2 linked regions of the Alligator mississippiensis genome follow. The protein of the gene in region 2 purifies or fractionates together with the protein of the main gene of each other region. This does not show direct contact. Links are inferred from orthologs where the notes say so. Each region holds a gene or a part of one and is shown on either strand. Other genes may lie near its edges.

Region 1 (9,272 bases), on a different chromosome or scaffold from region 2:
CCCTCCCACTTTTTTTTAAACTGATAAATTAAAGGAAATTCCCACTTATAATAGATCACCCTTTTATATAGTAGGTCAATAACTGAACTGACTATAGAAAAGGCCTCCAGATTCATAAAGACAAGCCAGCAGTCAGAACGCAACAGAACTTGATTTTCTTTTTTTTACACTATGGAAAAATATTAGTTCTTTCCAGACTTGTAGCTTTTGAAGTTGATTATAGCTTATTTTCTTATGCAATTCAGTCATCTAAGGACTACACTGATGGCACGAAAAGCAGCTCGGTCTCATTTGCAGGATTAAATGACAAACAGTTCTACTTTAGGAACGTTACACAGAGGGGGAACTATTGAGATTCTACTGGAGGCAGTGGGACTCCTACTCAAGCATTTTATTTCTGCAAAAGCTGCAGATATTTAACAAGACATTCTTAGCTCATTTGGCAAGTCTGTTCTTAAATAATATGGTCATACACATATCAATGGCCAAAGGATAACAATAAGAGTTAAAGATACCCAGAGGTGGTTCATACCCTTACAGAACAGGGCTAAACTTAAACCCTTTAAAGTCAGGAAATGAATTAAGATACATGCCACCCTAATAACATCTCTACTCTGCCTCCGGCTAAGCTGGCAAGAGCCTCTGGGGTGCTTTAGTAAAGATGGTGCAAAGCATTCATCTAATGATGGAAGTGGTAATTTCTATGTTCATGTTAAGACTGAACAATGTTCAAAGAAATGCTTTAGGAAAAGAACCAGATTATTAGGTGAAGCAGGAGAGTAACTGGGAGAAATGTTCTGACCTGTGTTATCTAGAAGGTCAGATGAGATGACCTCATGATCCCCTTCTGCTTTAAAAATCTCAGAATATATGAATAGCAATTAGCAGAAAGATTAAGAATGTGCCAGTGTGCTGTGTTCTACAGAGCTGAATCCCAGCATTTATCTGCACACACCCCAGCTGCGTTCACTGTGTGAAGTGGAGCAGTACAGCCTGGACCAAAGTTGTAAGGAACAGCACATGCCTACCTTGAGGGATCAAGCATGCCTCATTTCAGTCCTGAATGTGGCAGGCTATTTCTGCAGAAGTACACAAGGATGCCTTCTTGCCATGGGGACTGTCAGCTGCACAGAGACATATGTTTCTACAGTCTCCAGGGCTTAGTGATGGGCAACAGCCACATCTGCAATGGAGCCTAGGCTGCTCCCATTCATTACACCTGACCCAAACCCAAGATTTGTCTTAAAGAACACATGCTGAATTTGCATCATTAGTGCTCATGTGCTCACTACCATCTATGAGAGTAAAGCATGGACACGGTATTGATGTTTTACAGGAGAGTTAAGCTGTGTTTTTGTTTTTTTGGGGGGGGTGTACCTTAAGTCCTTTCCTTCCTGGTTCTCCAAGTTTTACATTTAGCCACTACTACCCACGTTCTGGAAGGGCAAGAGGCAGTACCAGGCAAACTTACCTCTACATTAACAAAGGTTTTGGGCCATCCCTTTCACTATGAACTTTTCATCACTCCCATGCACTTCATTCCAACTGACCTACTCCCCGTCTGGTCCTTGACAGTAGTTATTCCATCCAATTATGGGGTAACTACTGCCACAGAGCTGGAGGTGGCAGATAGGGAAAGCTGGCTTGAGACATCCTGTTTACTGCTCCTAAACCATGTTCCCTTTATTTCTCCTAATGTCAAAACCAGTCTCCTTCACACAGAACAACAGCCATCAGCATGGGACCCACCTACAGGCTGAGGAACTGGGAAGAGGATACAGAACAGTGCAGGGACTAGGACAGTATTAGTGGGGACTTTTTTAAGGGCATCAACAGAGACGTTACTCCTTAACACCTGCCCCTGCAAAGCTGTGACCCCTCCTCCTTTCCACCCCCCTCTTCAGTTAACTTTTTATTGCCTTCTATATTCCTCATTGTTTTAACGCTTTGCATTGTTTCCAGTTGCTCAGACATCCCTAAACTGCTATGACACTGCTCTAGTGATCCCTTCGTCATACTCACTGCTCTGATAACCCATAATCCTGGATCATAAAGTCAGAAAAAGGGCTCAAACACACACAGCTCTCATGATGAAGCTGTGCATCAGGATCCCCATGTTCAAGTGACCTAGAAAACAGCTCTCTCTTGTCCATTGATCAGGAAACCAACTACATTATAGCCCTTTCATCTGTCCTTTAAATCAATGCTGATTTCCTTGATCGTATTTTTAAAGTAAAGCTGGAGTTTGCACGTGCATTTTAGAGTACTGCAGAATATTGCTCTTGAGCCAACAGTTCTCATTTCAAGACAAAACTTCCAAGGGGAACTCCTGGGAAATGCAAGCAGAGGCAGGAACATGCGCAACATGCATTGTCTGAAAACCGCCAGCTGTAAGGCTCCAATTTAGAGTGCACAGATACAGCTCAAGTTCAGTAACCACAGCTATTTTAAGAGTCTGCTTGAAAAACCCTTTTGCCTCAGAAACCTGCTTTGGCCGCATTTACATTTTTCAGTCTCTTTAGCCCCAACCTGAAATTCCAAATTAAGGTTAACGACTTTTTCAACACCGATGTTATACAGCACCCTTTGATGAAGCAGGATATGCCGAGTGACCAAAAATCAGTGGGGGCAGGGGAGAAGGAGGCCACAAGAAGAATTATAAATTCATTTTGTAAAATTCATTTTTTAACGGCTGCATCAAGAATCCTTTGCTCATCTGACCTCGAAATTTGACTAACGCCATCCTAAACGCCACACGAGACAACACATTACAAGGCAATCCAAATAAGCAAACTGATTTTGCAGCACAGGAAAAATAAAAAAGGATTCTTAAATTATAAGCGATGATCAACTGCAGAGGCAAGCGCTCCGATATAATTCACAAGCCAGGTTGTTCGGACTAAGGAAACGTCCGATACAAAACCTCGGCGCGGCGCTCGGTACCCGGATCTTTGCCGAGCGGGCCAAGGACACCGACCTGCCTGGAAGAATAGGAGCTTCCTAACATCTCCTTCGCCGCACGGAGCAAGCAGAGCGCGGCTGCACATCAGGCGGCTGAAGACGGCGGGGAGCAAAAGCAGTTAAGTCGGGATCAAAACAAGGTTATAAAATTATTCGATACGGGAATCAGACGTACGCCGGCGATGCCGGATACGCTGCAGCAACTCCCCTGGAGTCGGCGGGCAGGCGATGTCACACACCCATCCCCGCCCCAGCGCCGGCATCATCGCCTGAAAGGACCCGGGGCGTCATCGGGCAGCTCGCAAGGAGCGCGCGCCGTTTTCATTAATAGATGTAAAGCAAAATCCTTTTCCGCCGGCTGCTTACCACCCCCCCCCAGGGGCTTGCCCTGGGGCAGCCGAGCGGGCGCGCAGCCGCAACCGCGCAGAACAAAGGCAGCCGTTCCCCGTCTCGCCGCGGGTCGGTTTTGGGAGGGGGCCGTGCCCCGAGAAACTTCTCCGCCTGCCTTTCACCCACCCACCCACTGTAGGGTTGGGGAGGGGGGTTCCTAATGCTGTTGGGTTTTCATACACGGCGGGGGGGCTGCCACCCCCTCCCCCCGCGCTGTTGCCATGGCAGCCGACCGACGGGACGGGGACGGGAGCAGGGCCGCCCCTCCCCCCCGCCGCGGCCGTACCTGCCGTGAGGAGCTGCATGGCGTGCGTGAAGGACGGGTCGAGGCTGTCCTTCTCGGCCATGAGCTCGGGCAGGTACTTGTTCTCGGGCTCCATCTTGACGGCGGCGGCGCCGGGCAGCAGCGGGGTGGGCGCGGCGGCGGGCGCCTGCGAGGCGCCGGCGGTGGCGGCGGGCGGCAGCAGCGGCGGCGGCTGCGAGCCCGGCGGGTGGGCGGCGGCGGCGCCGCGGGCCCCGCCGCGGGGCGGCCGGCGCGGGGGCTGCGCTGCCTGCGGCCGGGCGCCGGGGCCCGGGGGCCGGCCCAGGCGGGCGGCGGGGTCGTCGCGGCGCTGCATGGGCGCGGAGCGCGGCGGGCGGCGCGGGGCGGACAGCGTTGCCACACCGAGGGCCGCGGCGGCCGGGACCGGAAGTGAGGGGCCGGAAGCGCTCGCCGCTCGCTCCCGCTCCGCCGCCGTCGCCGCTCCGGACGCACTGCGCCTGCGCCGCCCTCCCGCCGCGCCTGCGCGGCGCCGGCCGCCTGCCGAGAACAAAGCGCCGGCTGAGACGCGCTGCGCAGGGCCTCCGAGTGCGCATGCGCAACGAGCGGGAGGAAACAAAAAAGAAAGGAGCGCCCCCTTCCATTGCGCCTGCGCAGAGGCGCAGCGGCCCTGCCTCGTTCCGCCGAGAACAAAGTACCGAGGGGGCCCAGTGCGCATGCGTAGAAGCCTAGCACGCGGGGAGGGGCTGCATTGCGCACGCGCAATCGCAGCCTTGGGGCGAACAAAGCGTCCGGGAGCGATCGCAACGCATGCGCGTTACAGTTCCTCCCTCTTCCCCGCCCCCCGTCCCTTGCAGGAGTTCGACGCACGTGTGCGTCTTCTGCCTGCCCAGGGCATGGCCTGGCTGCCGCTCTGCGCATGCGCGGGTCCTTCCCTGGCTTGGGCCTGGCCAGCATGGTGTGGCGGGAGAGATGGAGCCCTGAGTTGGGGCCGGGGGTAAGGGTTAGACCTTGGGATCTTTGGAGCAAAGCAGCCCAGCCCTGGCCTCATGCTCCCCTCCCTGAGCACTAGCAGGCTGGCCTTGCTTGCCTGGGAGCCCATCCGGACCCTGCCAGATAGCCTGCAGCACATTTGACACGCAAGCCTCCTATGGCTGATACTGCGACACGAAGCACCTGGGTGCACTGGTTCTAAATCCGCCCCCACCCCGTGTGTGCACTGCGCAGGAGCCCTGGGGGGCTGGGTTAGCATGGGGATCCCTTGGTGCAAATCTTGATGACACCCAGAAAGCCCCCCAAAGGGTGCTCTGCAGGACCGACCTCCACTTGGAAGGCCCCTGCGTGGTCATTAGCGGACACGTTCCTTCAACCACCGGCGAGGGCATGGCCCTCGGCTGCCAAGCCAACATCAGCAGTAATTATCCTATAAGTCGGCAGTTCCCAAGCTCTGACAGCGCACCATCATTTTAAAACAACGCAACCTTAAGTGCCACCAGCAAATTTTTGTCATATAAAGTAATGATAATACATCTGTTAATACTAGTCGCGATGCATATGGGGTGCGCCCCCTGACAGGCCGCGCTCGCATGTGTCCCCCTGAATCAGGCGGCACCAGTTGCCCATGGGTAACACGTGCCGCTGACAGGTTCTCTGCGTACCGGTGGTGGTACCCGTACCAGATTGGGAACCGCTGCTGTAAGTGACAGATTCATCTCATTGTCCCAGAGTGTATACAAATAGTATACGCATAGATCCGTTTATGTCCTAAAGCAGGGAGGCTGAGTCTTCTGCATTTTTATTTCCATCAGTCTGTGATGGCAGCATATAGAAAGCTCATTTGAGGAAGGCAAGTTTCTTGATCTCCGAATGTCTTAATTGACAACCCCCCCCCGACCCAGAGCCTGCACTTGTCTTTTGGGTTCAGACTCTGCCTGTATGCAATATGACTTCTGTTGATAGCAGGACTGACTTCATGGTAGGAGTCTTGTTGGTGTAGCTGGGACTGAACTATATTTCAACCAGGTCTCTAACGCATGGAGTAGATGAGTGGTGCCCAATCTTTTCACCCCACAGACTAGATGGGCAGTGCCATATCTGGCCGCAGGCTGGATCAGGCTGGTGGGCTCGACCCAGCCAGAACGTGGGGTTGCTGGAGCAACTCCATTTAGCCCAGGGGACTGTGCAGCCTGACCCAGATCCATCCACAGGGGGTTGGGGAGCAGCTTGGTCCCCATCTGGATGTGTGTGGGGGCGCTGAATGGAGCTGTCCCGATCAGGATGTGGTGAGGGGTGGGTGGAGAGCAACTTGGTTCTGATCCAGACACATCGGGGGTGGAAGTGGAGAGCAGCCCAGCCATGATCCGGATGCCGATGGGGTGGAGTGGCCTCTGCCTGGACGCATGGAGGGGGCAGGGAGCCGCCCAGCCAGATCCGGATAGACAAGGGGCAGGCCTGTCCCTGATCCTGCTGTGCGGCAATGGCCTGGGCAAGGCTGGATCCCACTGCATGGAGCTTCCTCGCTCCCCAGCTGCCAGTTTTTTCCACCCTGCAGAGATCCCCGTGGGCAGGACGTCACAGCTCTATGGGCTGGATTTAGCTCGCAGGCTAGGGGTTGAGCACCCCTGGAATAGAAGAAGCTGGGGAAAGAGCCCATGAAGGAGAAACTTTGATGCCAGCAGGTGACAGATCCCAGATCTCTGTACTTCTCTCACTTGGCTACAATCAGCAATGTGCGCATGGATCTTTACTGAATGTGCTGTTTGGACAAACCCTTCACTCAGTAGTTAATGTTTGTACAATACAAGTAAATGTACAGTCCCATCCATGCACCTAAGCTACTATTACTCACACAACCTCAATGCAGCAGGGCAGCTTCTTATAGCTAGGAGCATGGCATAGTTTTGGATGCCTAGCACTGCCTGGCTTTCTTTTGCTGCCCTTTGCTCTTTTCTGCTCTCACTCTCCTGGATTCAGTTGCTCTCTCCCTTGTCTTCAGTCTCGCATCCATGAGATTGTTTTTCTCACGCACTTCACCCAGCTCCCTATTAATTAACCCTTTCTCCCTGCCTGCCTTTCCCTGATTGCATTTCTCACCTGTCTCGTGCTGCCTAGCCACCCCAGCTGCCCAGTCACACCTGCACATATGGGGTGTACACATGGGGCACAACGCAGCAGAGGTCTGTCACAGGTGATCTTGAACTGGCATAAGGTTCCCAAAGACCTAGAACTAGCTTGCACCACACGGGCTGTTTAGGACCCACCGTGCCATCCCAGCTCCTGCTAAAGGGTCATCGTTGCCCCAGGATTTCTACCTTCTATTTCAATACCACAAGAGAGGATTAGAAACTGTCCCAGTGCATCCAGCCTCCCCTCTCCACGGTCAGCATTGCTGGTTTTCCTTTCTGCACAGCTTCTGTGCCTGCTTCTATTACATCTTCTGAAACCTCTGGGGCTCAGACAGCAGAAGCCTGAGCCTTGCTGCCTGCACTCAGTTGTCTTCATTTCTCTGAGTCGCTCTCCATCTTTCTGTGCTCCTCCCTCTGGGCCAGATTCTCCACCTAGCTACATGCTAGAAAGTGGACTGAAACTGTCCCAAGTTAGGCAGTGGAGAACTTACGTGCAGAGCAATTCCTTACCTGCCCTTATTTCTTGTATTGGGGAAGGCAACACATCAAGAGCTTCCTGAGGACCTATTACTAACTCACACCCTGACTGGGATGATCACAACCTGCTCCTGCACACATCCTCCCCACTCGCTGCAGCTACGAGGTGCCTGAACTCACCTGTGAATCAGCCCCTCTTCCCTCTGTCAAATCTTGTCTTTACAAAGCACCCTGGCCAGGAGCTCTTCCCAATCCTTGAGGTGCAAACATCTCCAGGTTTGATACCGCTCCTGGTCCCCAGCATCTGAGCAAAACTGCAGAAGCAAAACAAGACCTAAGTTAGACGTTTTCTCTGGGCCTGGTCCTAGTGGAGTATTTTTCAAAGACATCCTGTCAGACCCAGTTTTTTTGGGAACTGCTCCTGGAGATCTGCAGCAGAGATACAATGAGCTCAGCTCATCTGCTGGGGCTGAATGGGGTTCTGAGGTCACGAGTGCATCTCTTCCCCAACCCACCACCTCTCATACAAATAGCCTGGTTTCCTATTAGCTTTCCCACCCTGCTTGTTTCCTTCTCCTTTTCTCTCTCCCTTCCTATTGCTTTTGTTATATTTGTCCAAGACAGTCTGGAAAAAAAAATGACTCCAACCACAAATGTGGAAGGAGTGCTGCCAAGCTGGCAAAATTATAAAATAAAGCTAGGCCTTCATTGCCATGGACTGATGCAACAAAAAGTAACTTTAGATCAGGGATGCTCGACCAGGGTGTTGCGGCACCCTGGGTTGCCCTGAAATCCTTTCAGCGGTGCCTCAGGGTGCCACACACTGTTAGCACAGTTATGGGTGCAAACATGATTCACAGGATAAATCCTGAGATTTCAAATAGGCATCCATAGTGTTAAAAACATTGTGTCCCTGTTGTGGTATTTCCGAGTTCTTTGCAACAGGAGAGCTGGAGTCAAACAAATGAGTGAAAATTAAGAACTGGCACTTTCCAAGGGGGGCCTCCAGTCTTAACGAGGGGTGCCTGGGGTCTAAAAAGGTTGAGAACCGCTGCTTTAGATTCTCATGGACGCAGTCATATCCACATATCTCATGGCTTTCACGGCCCTTTCTTCATTTTCTTGGTCCTACTGCCCCTCTGGCTGGCACTGTCCGTCTCTTCCATGAGATCGGTATTTTGTGTGCTTGAACTGCAGGAGAGGAGCAATGGGTGTCCCTGCAGGTACATCCCCAAACCTGGAGGCACGTTCCACGGACAGGCCGTGCAGCTGGCAGTGGGGCAGGGCCCAGTGTTGGGTACACCGCTGGGTAGCAGTACTGCAGCTGGCACCATTGTGCTGAGGCTGCGTCAATGTGGCTATCGCAGCTGACAGCTGGTATTAGTCACTTGCTTTTAACCCACTCAGGAATGACAAAAAAAATAGTTTCAGTTTTAAGGGAAGGAAGGTCACTTGTCAAAGACTTTGCTGGCACTGGGAAATCTGGGCTGTCTGCCACAGACTCCCCGGGCGAACCAAGCTGCTTCGTTGTCTCAGCTTCCCAGCTAGAAAATGGGGATAATACTCCCACCTTTCTGTCTGCCTTTATCTGTCAGATCTGTTGAGATTGCAAGCTCTGTGAAGCTACAAGTCTCTTATGCATTCGTACAGCAGAAAAAAGAGCCCTGACCTTGGATGGAGCATCTGGGTGTTACTGAAATGCAAAGCCATAATAATTAAGAATCGGTTGTTTCCATGACTGTGGCGTTCAGCCAGGCAGTGCTAGGCAACCTCCAGGGCAAAGCTGCCACGTGGAGAGGCTTTTCCTCTGGGTGGAAACGGGAAGCAGGTTGGTTTCAGGATTGAGCGCGTGGCCTTCCCCGCTCCCTCTGCCCCTTCCTACGTGGGTCGAATAAGGAAGCAGAAAGCAGCTGGAGTGGATGGGCCGGCTTCTGCATTATTGCAATTATCCCCTGAGATTGGGATGATGGGATCGTTAATCAGCCGGCTTTCCAAGAAGCTGCCTTTGTTTGGTTTCAGAGCTAGACACTGTGCGCTGCGGAGCGCAGAGCTGCCAGGCT
Region 2 (9,244 bases):
TGCGAAATTCTTTTAGTCTTTGCATTAATTAAAAAGGGGGGGGGGGAGGAGGTTGGCTTGTAATCTAGAATAGCAGTTGTGCTTTCCAAGTACACCACGGGGGGGGGGGGGGGGGAAGGAAAGAGGTAAAGGGGAGGACAAATCAAGATAAAATCCAGAAGCAGACAGTGCTCCAAAGCCCCCGTCTCCTGCTCTGCAAATTTGACTTCTCAGTTGGCCACGAGGGAAAGACCGGGAGGCCGGAACTGAACCTGAGAAATAGCACGACCCTGTAAAAGCCATGGCTGCTCGCCCGCGATTTCAGTGGCAACCGGCACAAAAATCCTCTAGGTACATGTTTAAAGGCACCTGCTCCCCCCCGCATCTCAAACCAGCCCTTTCCCAGTGCAAGCCGTGCCCGGCGCGCAGAAGTGCCATCCAGGCACAAGGTCGTTCCTGCAGGATGGTAATTTCCCGGCTCTACATTCAGCTGGGGCAGGAGTGTGGAGATGCAAGCCACCCTCCCCTCGTCCCCTCCCCTCCCCTCGGGGTTAGGAGCCATCCTTAACCCTCTGCGAGTCGAGCTGCCTCCGGCTTGGTGCCCCCTGCCCCGTGCACCAGGCCGGGCCTGCAGCCCCCGGCCGCAGGCTGCTGGGGCCCGGCTGGTTGCACGGAGCAGGCAGCTGCAAGCTGCGGTCGGAAGTGTACAAAGGAAAAGGCTACCTCGGAGAGATGGCTGCGCTCCTCCGCTATGGGGCTGGCGCCACCGCTTCTCTTTCGGCCTGGAGCCGCTGCCGGGACTGTCGGGGTTTGGGCTACACCGCGCTGGCCTTGTAAGCCAGAAACAGCTGGGGAGTGTCGGGCAGCGGCGATTTTTACCTGGCCTCCCCCCTACCTCACACGCGCCTCTTCTGCGCTGGAAAAAAAACAAAAATAAAGGGGGAGAAAGTTGAGGAAGGCACAGACAAAGGAAGCAGAGCTCCGCACGCCCCGCCGGCGCCTCCGCCCCGCCAGCACCCTCCGCGCGGCCGGCGGGGATGCTCTGGCCCCGGCCCGGCCCCGCCCGGCCCGGCGCGACGGCACAACGCTCCGCTGCGGCCCGGCCCGCGTGCCCCCAGCCAGCCCGCGAGCCACGCCGCTTACTTGTTGCCTTCGCACTCGCTCCGCTCCTGCCACGCGCGCCCGTTTCACTTGACACCAAGTGCAAGGTCCCAGCTCAGCCCAGCGGCAACAAGTGGTCTCAGCACCAAGTCCACACACCTCCCTTCGCCTCGGCACAAGTCTCCCGGGCTGGCACTTACACCGCGCGCTTCTCAGGCCCGCAAGGAGGACTGCAGTTTCCACCTACTCCGAGCCCTGCTCTTCTCCAGCGCCAGAGCCGAGCTTTTCGCGCGGTACTTACTTACACCGTGTTGTCATGAACTGACCACACTCAGCTGACTACGGTCAGACCTTGAACTGCATTATTATTATTATTTTTTCTTTAAAAAAAAAATCAAAACAGCTCGTATTACAAAAAAGAAATGCAAGACTCAGGCGTAACTTCAGTGTCCATATGTCAAAAATTTATTTATCTCAAACTGTGCATAATGGAGTAAAAACTTAAGTTGAATATGTACCTGTTATAAGGATGGTATTAGTTCAAATATATACATGGACTGTCGGCAGACTGATTTCAAATAATACAGAGCCGAATCTTTAAAATACAACTACGGAAAATGAGAGGAAAAAAAAAAGGAACTTAAAATAGCATCACAATAAATTTACAGAAATATTACAAACCATAAGAAAATATTTCAAACACAGTCATTTCAGCTTGTGTGTGTGGTTTCTCTGTCTCTCTCTCTCTCTCTGAACAGGATGAATTCTGGAAACAAAAAGGCTATTATAAATTAACAAACGGTATGTGAACCTGCAGTGGCAATTTTTGCTTTTTAACAAGTAAAAAAAATTTAGTACAATCTAAACGTTTGCCCTTTTATAGAAAACCAATTCACTGGTTTGCAAGTACTTATCCTACATTTTTTTGCCTTTTGTACAATTTCTAAAACAATTAAAATGTCCAAATTCTGTAAAATAAATCTCCACTCCTTTGGCAGCTGCTATAATTCAGCTGCGCGGCTCCAAGTAAACTCTACTTTGTTTTTAAAAAATAATTGGCAAATTCTCAAGTGTTTCCCCCCCATATTAACAATGGACATTCTGATTGCCATGTTTATTTTGATAAATACTGTACAAAAGTCGCCTGCAAATATTAAAACATTTTTTTTCCTCGTCGCTTTTTGAGTCTAGCTCTAAATATTATTGGTAAAGACTTTTGCAAACTTTCTGCAAAGTTCCTACCGTTTCACTAGAACTTTTAAAAAGTTTTGTGTAGTTTCTTCCCCTTCAGATCTATACAAGGTCCTCGGCGGGGTTAGTTTTTGTTTGTTTGTTTTGTTTTGTTTTTTCTGCCCTCCCCAGTTTTCTCTGTACAAAAATAGTCCAAAAAAAAAAAAAAGTCCAGAATCTCTAATAAAAGTTTTTTGTTTGTTGGTTGGAGTTCAGCTCTCCTTCCCCCCCTGCCCCTTTGTCTTACATATGTGATAGAGGAAGTGTGCCATTAATGGCTGTGCCAGGAACAGGTGCACTCTGGTAGTGTTGGGACATATGAAGTCTGCTTGGGGCAGCTGGTTCTGGTACTTCAGCACCTGGTAGATACATGCTGATCATGTCCCGAAGGTCCCCAGCTTGGCAAGGAGCCCTGGAATGGGAAGAGGAAGTAACTACTGGGGGGCTGGAGCTGGATTCCGTCTTGACCACAGAGCCCATGGAGCCCAGGGCCATGCCCGGGGTCCCTTGCTGGGAGTAAGACATGCTGTAGGTGGGCGATCCGTTCATATAGGTCTGCGAGCTGGTCATGGAGTTGTACTGCAGGGCGCTCACGTCGTAGCGGTGCATGGGCTGCATCTGAGCCGCGTTGTGCGCGTTCAAGCCCGGGTGCTGGGGGTAGCCGAGCTGATCTTGCATCATCCCATACCCTCCGTTGGTCCAGCCGTTCATGTGAGCATAACTGTCCATCCTCTGGTTCACCCCAGCTCCCAAGGTGGCCCCAACCCCGACCCCGGTGGTCATGCTATTGGTGCCCGGCGCCAGCAAGCCCCCTGGCAACGTGTACTTATCCTTCTTCATCAGGGTCTTGGTTTTCCGCCGGGGTCGGTATTTATAATCCGGGTGCTCCTTCATGTGCAGAGCGCGGAGCCGCTTGGCTTCATCGATGAAGGGTCTCTTCTCCGCCTCGGATAAAAGTTTCCACTCGGCCCCGAGCCGCTTGCTGATCTCCGAGTTGTGCATCTTGGGGTTCTCCTGGGCCATTTTCCGCCGCTGGCCCCGGGACCAGACCATGAAGGCGTTCATGGGGCGCTTGACCCGGTCCGGGCTGTTCTTCTGGTTGGGAGCGGCCGAGTTGGAGTTGCCCGTGCCGCCTCCCGAGGCGGGCTGGGGGGCGGGCGGCTTGAGCTCGGTTTCCATCATGTTGTACATTCAAGCGGCTTCTGCCTGGCCCGAGGCTTCCGCGGAGAAGCGAGAAGCAAACGTCCCGAGCTGGACTTTCTCTCCGGCTAGGGAGGGGTGTGCAAGGGGGGGAGGGGGCTCCCCGAAACACCCCGCGCTTGGATCAGGATCAGGGGCTTCCTCTTGCCTGTCGGAGGGATCAGGCCGGTGGCGGTGGCGGCTGCTGCAGCCTGGCTTTGCAAAAAAAAAAAAAAAAAAAACCACAACCAAAAAACCAAAACAAAACAAAAAAAAAACCAAACCAAAAACCCAAACTTCTTCTTTCTCCTTTTTGCCCCTTTTCTCTGCCTCTCTCCAGCGCTTTCCCTCCACCTCGGTCTTAAAGAGCCAGCAAACTCCTTTGCCCCCTTTTGCAAACACGCGCACTCCCTCTCCCTCTCCCTCTCTTTCTCTCTCTCTGCCTTGACAACTCCTGATACTTTTTTGAACAAGTTAATAGACAACCATCCATGTGATGGGGGCTTGTCAGGGAATAAATGCGCTGGGCCCGGCCAATCAGCGCGCGCCGGCTCCTCCACTGAGGACGAGCCTCTACCCCTGGTTTTGCATGAAACGGGGCGGGGGCTGCGGGCGCCGCCGGGCCGGCCCGGGGGGGGGGACGGGGGGCGGGCCCTCGGCCGAGCCAGGCAGCCACTAGCGAGGCTTTGTCGCGCCTCTTCCAGCAACAGGTCACACACGCCTTTTGGAGGAAGTGGGTAAACAGCATTGTTGCTACATTAAAAACACGCGCGCGCGCACACACACACACACACACACAACTTGGTGCGGGGGAAAGCCGCGGGGGAGCGCGAGGCCTCCGCAAAGTTGCGTGTGTTGGGTGCGGGCCTCCCCTGCCTGCCATTGCCTCTCCCCCCACCGCCGGCTCTCGCGGAGGGGCCTGTGCAGGGCAGGTGCAGGGGAGCAGGCCCTCCCCTCCCCCTAGCCCGGCTCCATTCACAGCCTGGAAGCCCCCTGCGCCTCCCAGAAAGAAGGGGCCGAGCTCCCCCGCCATGCCCCGGGCGTCTGCTTGCAGCCCCGGGGGAGGGGGCCGCCCCCCAGCTGCGGCGACCCCCGCCTGGCCCCAGCCCCGCGCCCCGCGTGCTGCTCCCCGGGCCGCGGGCCGCGCGGCAGGGGCAGGACGCGGGAGTGGGAAGCCGCCCTGGGCTCGGGAGGGTAATTTTAGACTCGGCCCCATTGTCCCGACGTAAAGACTTCAATAGGTGGGAGCTCAATGGCGGGGAGAGATGGCAGCACGTCCGTTACAAATAGGTAGTTTTGTTTCTCTTGTTGTCGCTACACGGGGCCAAACAAAGGCCCGGCTAAGTTTACTTCCACTCTCTTGTTGGGATCTTTGTTGCTAAAATGCACTTGACTACAAAGAAAGGGGGGGGGGGAAGCCTCACGCCATTTCTGTTTTATGAAGTGCTCCCACGGGCAGGGGCTCCCTTCGCCCCCCTCTTCCTGGGGCTGAAAACGTGGCGAGCTGTCTGGACGGGCACGCCGCACCGGGGCGCGCTCCGCCCTGCGCCCCGGGCTCGGAGCCTGCCCCGCGGCCTCCCCAGGAAAGTTTGGCGCGACTGAAAACCTCCCGAGACTGACTGTATTTGGTGCTGTGCGCGGACTGTACAATCTGCTGGATTTCAGGTCTGCATCAGATTAAATCCAGTGCCGAAAGAACGATTTAGAAACACACACACACACACACACACACACACACACACACACAAAGGGAGGTGAGAAATAACTTGGAGGCTGCCCTGGACTTTCCGAGCGCGGGGGCTTCAGGGATGGGGCTGGTGCGCCCCCTACTGGCAGACTCGGCTCCCAGGCAAGGCTCGCTCTCACTTTTCAAATGAAATGTTTAAAAATAATAAAAGGAAAGGGGGGGGTGGAAATAATTATATGTAATCTAAGTAATAAAAAAAAAACAAACCCCAACAGCACGGATGCATCTTTTTATGGATTATGTAAATAAATCCTATCAGATTTAATGCGTTTAATTCGAAAATGTACATATAGCCCGTAGATAAGTGATAGGTTAAAGCAGAGGAAAATAGGTACAAATTATGAGATTCAAGCTAGAAACGAATTCTGATTGTCCAGACGCTACTGAGGGCACGCAACTATTTACTTTGGTATTGTTTACGCCTGGGGCTGCACTTGATAACATTATTCCAAAAAACACACACACAAAAAACCTTATGGATAATTAAATTGGGGGAGGGGGGAAGGGGGTGGTGGTGTTTGTTTATCGTAATAAATTGATAACTGATGGTTGGTGTTAGACAAGCAAGTCTTATTTTTGTTCTCTACTGTAGTTACAGAGGCAGAATCAGTTGGGAGTGTGTGTGTGTCTGTGTGTGAGCCTTGGCTGCAGCAAAGGCAAGGCAAGATTTTACACGTAACTAGATGCATATATTTGTGCCTGAACTCTCTAATAACACATTGAAGAGGTTAAAGTGGCTGGCTTGGCTCTTTGTTAATTGCATTTATCATATAAATAAGCGATGGAAATACCTAACAATTGTGTTATCATGAGTATTTACAGCTTTATTTTAATTAACCGTGTTTTACTTATCAATGCAATAAACTGCCTCTGGCATATATACATAATAATGCGCTATAGAAAAATAAGATAAAGGTGATAGCTCTTTCACAATTTGTTCTTCTCCGTTTCCTACGTGCACGTTTCTGGCTCCATAAACCGGGTTCCTGGCTACTCGTTTAAATAATGTAAAAAAACAATGAGAGCCTTCCTCCAGCTTCAGTATTAGTAACAATAACGACAACGGTCTATTGAAGAAGATCGAGATTTTTAAAAGGGAGGCCTAGAGAGGCATGGTTTAATCTGAATGGATTTTAAAAATCGTTGCCTTTGGTATAATTTATGGAAATGAAAAGTGCTCACATTAAACAAATAGTCCGCAAACGCGCTCAGCGCGGGAGTCCGAGGCGGGTTCGCGCTTATTCGGGGGTGATGAGCTTATTAACGAGAAAATGGATGTTAACGACTTGGATTTTTATTTATTTCTTGTGCGGACCCGGGCTGCACCCACCAATTTCTTCTAAAAGCCCTGAAGATGCAGCCTATCGGGGACTATAACATCAGGGATATCTACATAATTTTTTCGCACTGACCTTGCTAGTAACAAATCTAAAGCAAACTATTAAGCAGCCTGGTGGAGATGGAAGATTGCAGCCTCGATTTTTTTTTTTTTTTGTCCTTAGCTGCAAATAGAGGTTTAACTTGCAGTAATTAGGTGAGAACTAGCCAAGCATCTTACTATTATGATGCTTGTTAAAAACGCTTCTTTTCTGCATCTGCATTTGAGTGTGTTCCCCTCCACTCTTAATCTTCTTATGGAAATGAAGGCGAGCGGCGGGGAACCTGCAGAGACTTACAGAATGTCCTTGTTAACTGGAATTTCTCAGCATTGCTAATTAGCAGAGTTTGACGACCACCAGTATTGGGGAAAGCTCTGTTTAGCCACTCACAAACCCTTCCGAGGAAGAGCAGACTAATTTTATTTTGTAATTAAAATCTGAAAAGGGCCCTATTTGACAGTTAGGGCTATGAGAGTTTTATCTCCCTGTGAAATAATTACTGCCTTGATAACTCAATTTTCTGCAAAACGTCAACTGTGAGCTCCAAAAGTTTTAATTTCATTACGTTAAAAAAAAATCTGAAGACGAAAATGTACAGAGAGATTTCCCCCCCCCCCCCCCTTTCTAATTCTGGAACCAGCTAACTGCACAGAGGCTAAAGTTAGCCCAGGGAAGTTTTGCCAGACTCACTGTAACCCACTCCCTGGTGAACCCCTAATGGCACAAGGCGCGTTATTGCAGTACAAGCAGCAAACCCTGGAGGAAAATTGCTCCCCCCGCCCCAATATAGTTCCCGAGGAAGATCTCCCCCAAGAAACACCCCAAGGAAGGTTTTAGGCCAACACTGGTGTTGTTCTGGTAAAAGGCTTTGTTCATTTACAACCATTAATAGGTATGAAGGAAGGGGGGTCATGTCCTGGGGGTATTACACAGATGAGCTGAGCTCTGGCGTTTGGGGGGGGGGGGTTGGTGGTTTTTGGGTTTTTTTTTTTTAAGTACTGCCAGGTCCTAAAAGTCTTTCCAGGCTGATATTTCACGAGTCAAATCAGTAACCAGTCCATTCCTTCTTTTTGGCAGGCAGTTCGCCCCGACCCCCACTAACAAGGCTTTAAAATGTGAGATTCAGCTTTCTGCATTTTTTCAGAGAGGGGGAAACTCCCCCAGCCTTGGGGAGAGATCACCGAGCAATGACAATCAACCCAAATAACGTGCCAGGTTTGGCTGAGACGGGATCTATAATCCCGAGAGAGGCACCAGCCCCCTTCTCCTCGAAGCGTGCTAATCTCTGCACGCTTGTCTCTTGGGTGGGGGGGAGGCAATCTGGGGGGCGAGCCGGGCGCCGGGACCACGCGTAGCCCACGCTGCTTCCATATATATGGAGAGAGTGTGTGTGTAGATCTATCTATCTATCTATCTATCTATCTATGCTAGATAGATAGCTAGATAGATATGTGTGTAGATATCTATGTATCGATAGATAGATAGATAGATAGATAGATAGATAGATAGATAGATAGATAGATAGATAGATAGATAGATAGATGGGGGGGAGTGTAATATGTGTATGTACCTATCTCATTTCTTTCCTTGGTAATTTAAAACGGTTTAACCGGGGCTTTGCTCCAGTCTGTCCTGCCGGCAGCCAGCAGTGGCATCCCGCATCCAGGCGGGCCCGGGCAGCCCCGCTTCAACCACCCCCGTCTCTCTCCGGATCCCCCTTGCAGGGCTCTGCGGCCCCTCGACGGCGCGGAGCGCACAGCAGGCTCCGCTCCAGCCCACTTCTCTCTAACGGAGCAGGACACACGGAGCGCACGTGCGGCCGAGGGAGGGGTGGGGGTGTGGGGGGCAGTGGCGATGGGCGACCCCCGGTGCCAGGCCGCGCGGGGGCCGGGCGACGCCTCCACCCGCGCGCCCCCCACTCCCACGGCCCCTGCCGCCGGGCTGGCCCTGCAGACGGGAGGGGGCCGCGGAGCTCGGCGAGCCTGGGGCAGCAGGGACCTCGCGTTCAACGCGGAGCACAAGACCCTGTCACCGAGCATGGGTCCCCCCCCCCAGTATATCTCATGCCTCGGCTTTCCGCTCCCGCCGGGCCCTGGGAAAACAACCCAAAGCAGCTCCGCAGCCTCGAGAAAATTCAACCTTTTAGCGCAACCTCAGTGGCACTAAAACACCTGTCAGAGTCAGGAGCCGTCCGACACCTCCCGGCCAGCCCCCTGCTCTCTACCCGAGTTATACCCCCGGCCCTCGCCCCTCCGAGGGCCCTTGCAACCGGGGCTGGGGCTTCCCCGAGCGAAGCGATCCTCCGCCTGGGTCCAGGGGGGCGCAGGCCTCGAGCCCCTTCCGCAGAGTCCCTTTTGGCAGTCTATTTAAAGGGATCTTTCCTTCCGAGTTTTATAAGAACAAATGAGTTTTCTTTTCCCATTGTAGCTGAATGAACTCATGTATATTAAACACAAAACCCTCTCCTGAAGGACGTTAACTGCTTCACTTAAACCCACAAAAGCACGAAAATTCAGAATTAAAGGTTTCCAATTCCCTGAATAGGTCCCCTCCGCTCTCCCGCTATTGCAGGGCCCGGAGGATGGGCAAATGCTCTGGGGGAAAGAAAAAAAAAAGTCTTAACTGCTAC

Evidence for each region. Proteins that work in one complex are often made in the same cells at the same time.
Region 1: the proteins of SOX2 (region 2) and KHDRBS1 purify together in Homo sapiens (affinity purification with mass spectrometry; 3 studies listed by BioGRID and IntAct, with this or other methods). This does not show direct contact. The link is inferred for Alligator mississippiensis from reciprocal best matches to the Homo sapiens genes SOX2 and KHDRBS1.

Annotation. Positions count from the first base shown.
Region 1 is NC_081829.1:5,790,901-5,800,172, forward strand, and holds the start of KHDRBS1 (KH domain-containing, RNA-binding, signal transduction-associated protein 1), read right to left. Parts: upstream 4,072-9,272; 5' UTR 3,969-4,071; coding exon 3,638-3,968; intron 1-3,637. UniProt on the Homo sapiens protein: Recruited and tyrosine phosphorylated by several receptor systems, for example the T-cell, leptin and insulin receptors. Once phosphorylated, functions as an adapter protein in signal transduction cascades by binding to SH2 and SH3 domain-containing proteins.
Region 2 is NC_081830.1:81,638,187-81,647,430, reverse strand, and holds SOX2 (transcription factor SOX-2), read right to left. Parts: upstream 3,996-9,244; 5' UTR 3,502-3,995; coding exon 2,554-3,501; 3' UTR 1,523-2,553; downstream 1-1,522. UniProt on the Homo sapiens protein: Transcription factor that forms a trimeric complex with OCT4 on DNA and controls the expression of a number of genes involved in embryonic development such as YES1, FGF4, UTF1 and ZFP206. Binds to the proximal enhancer region of NANOG.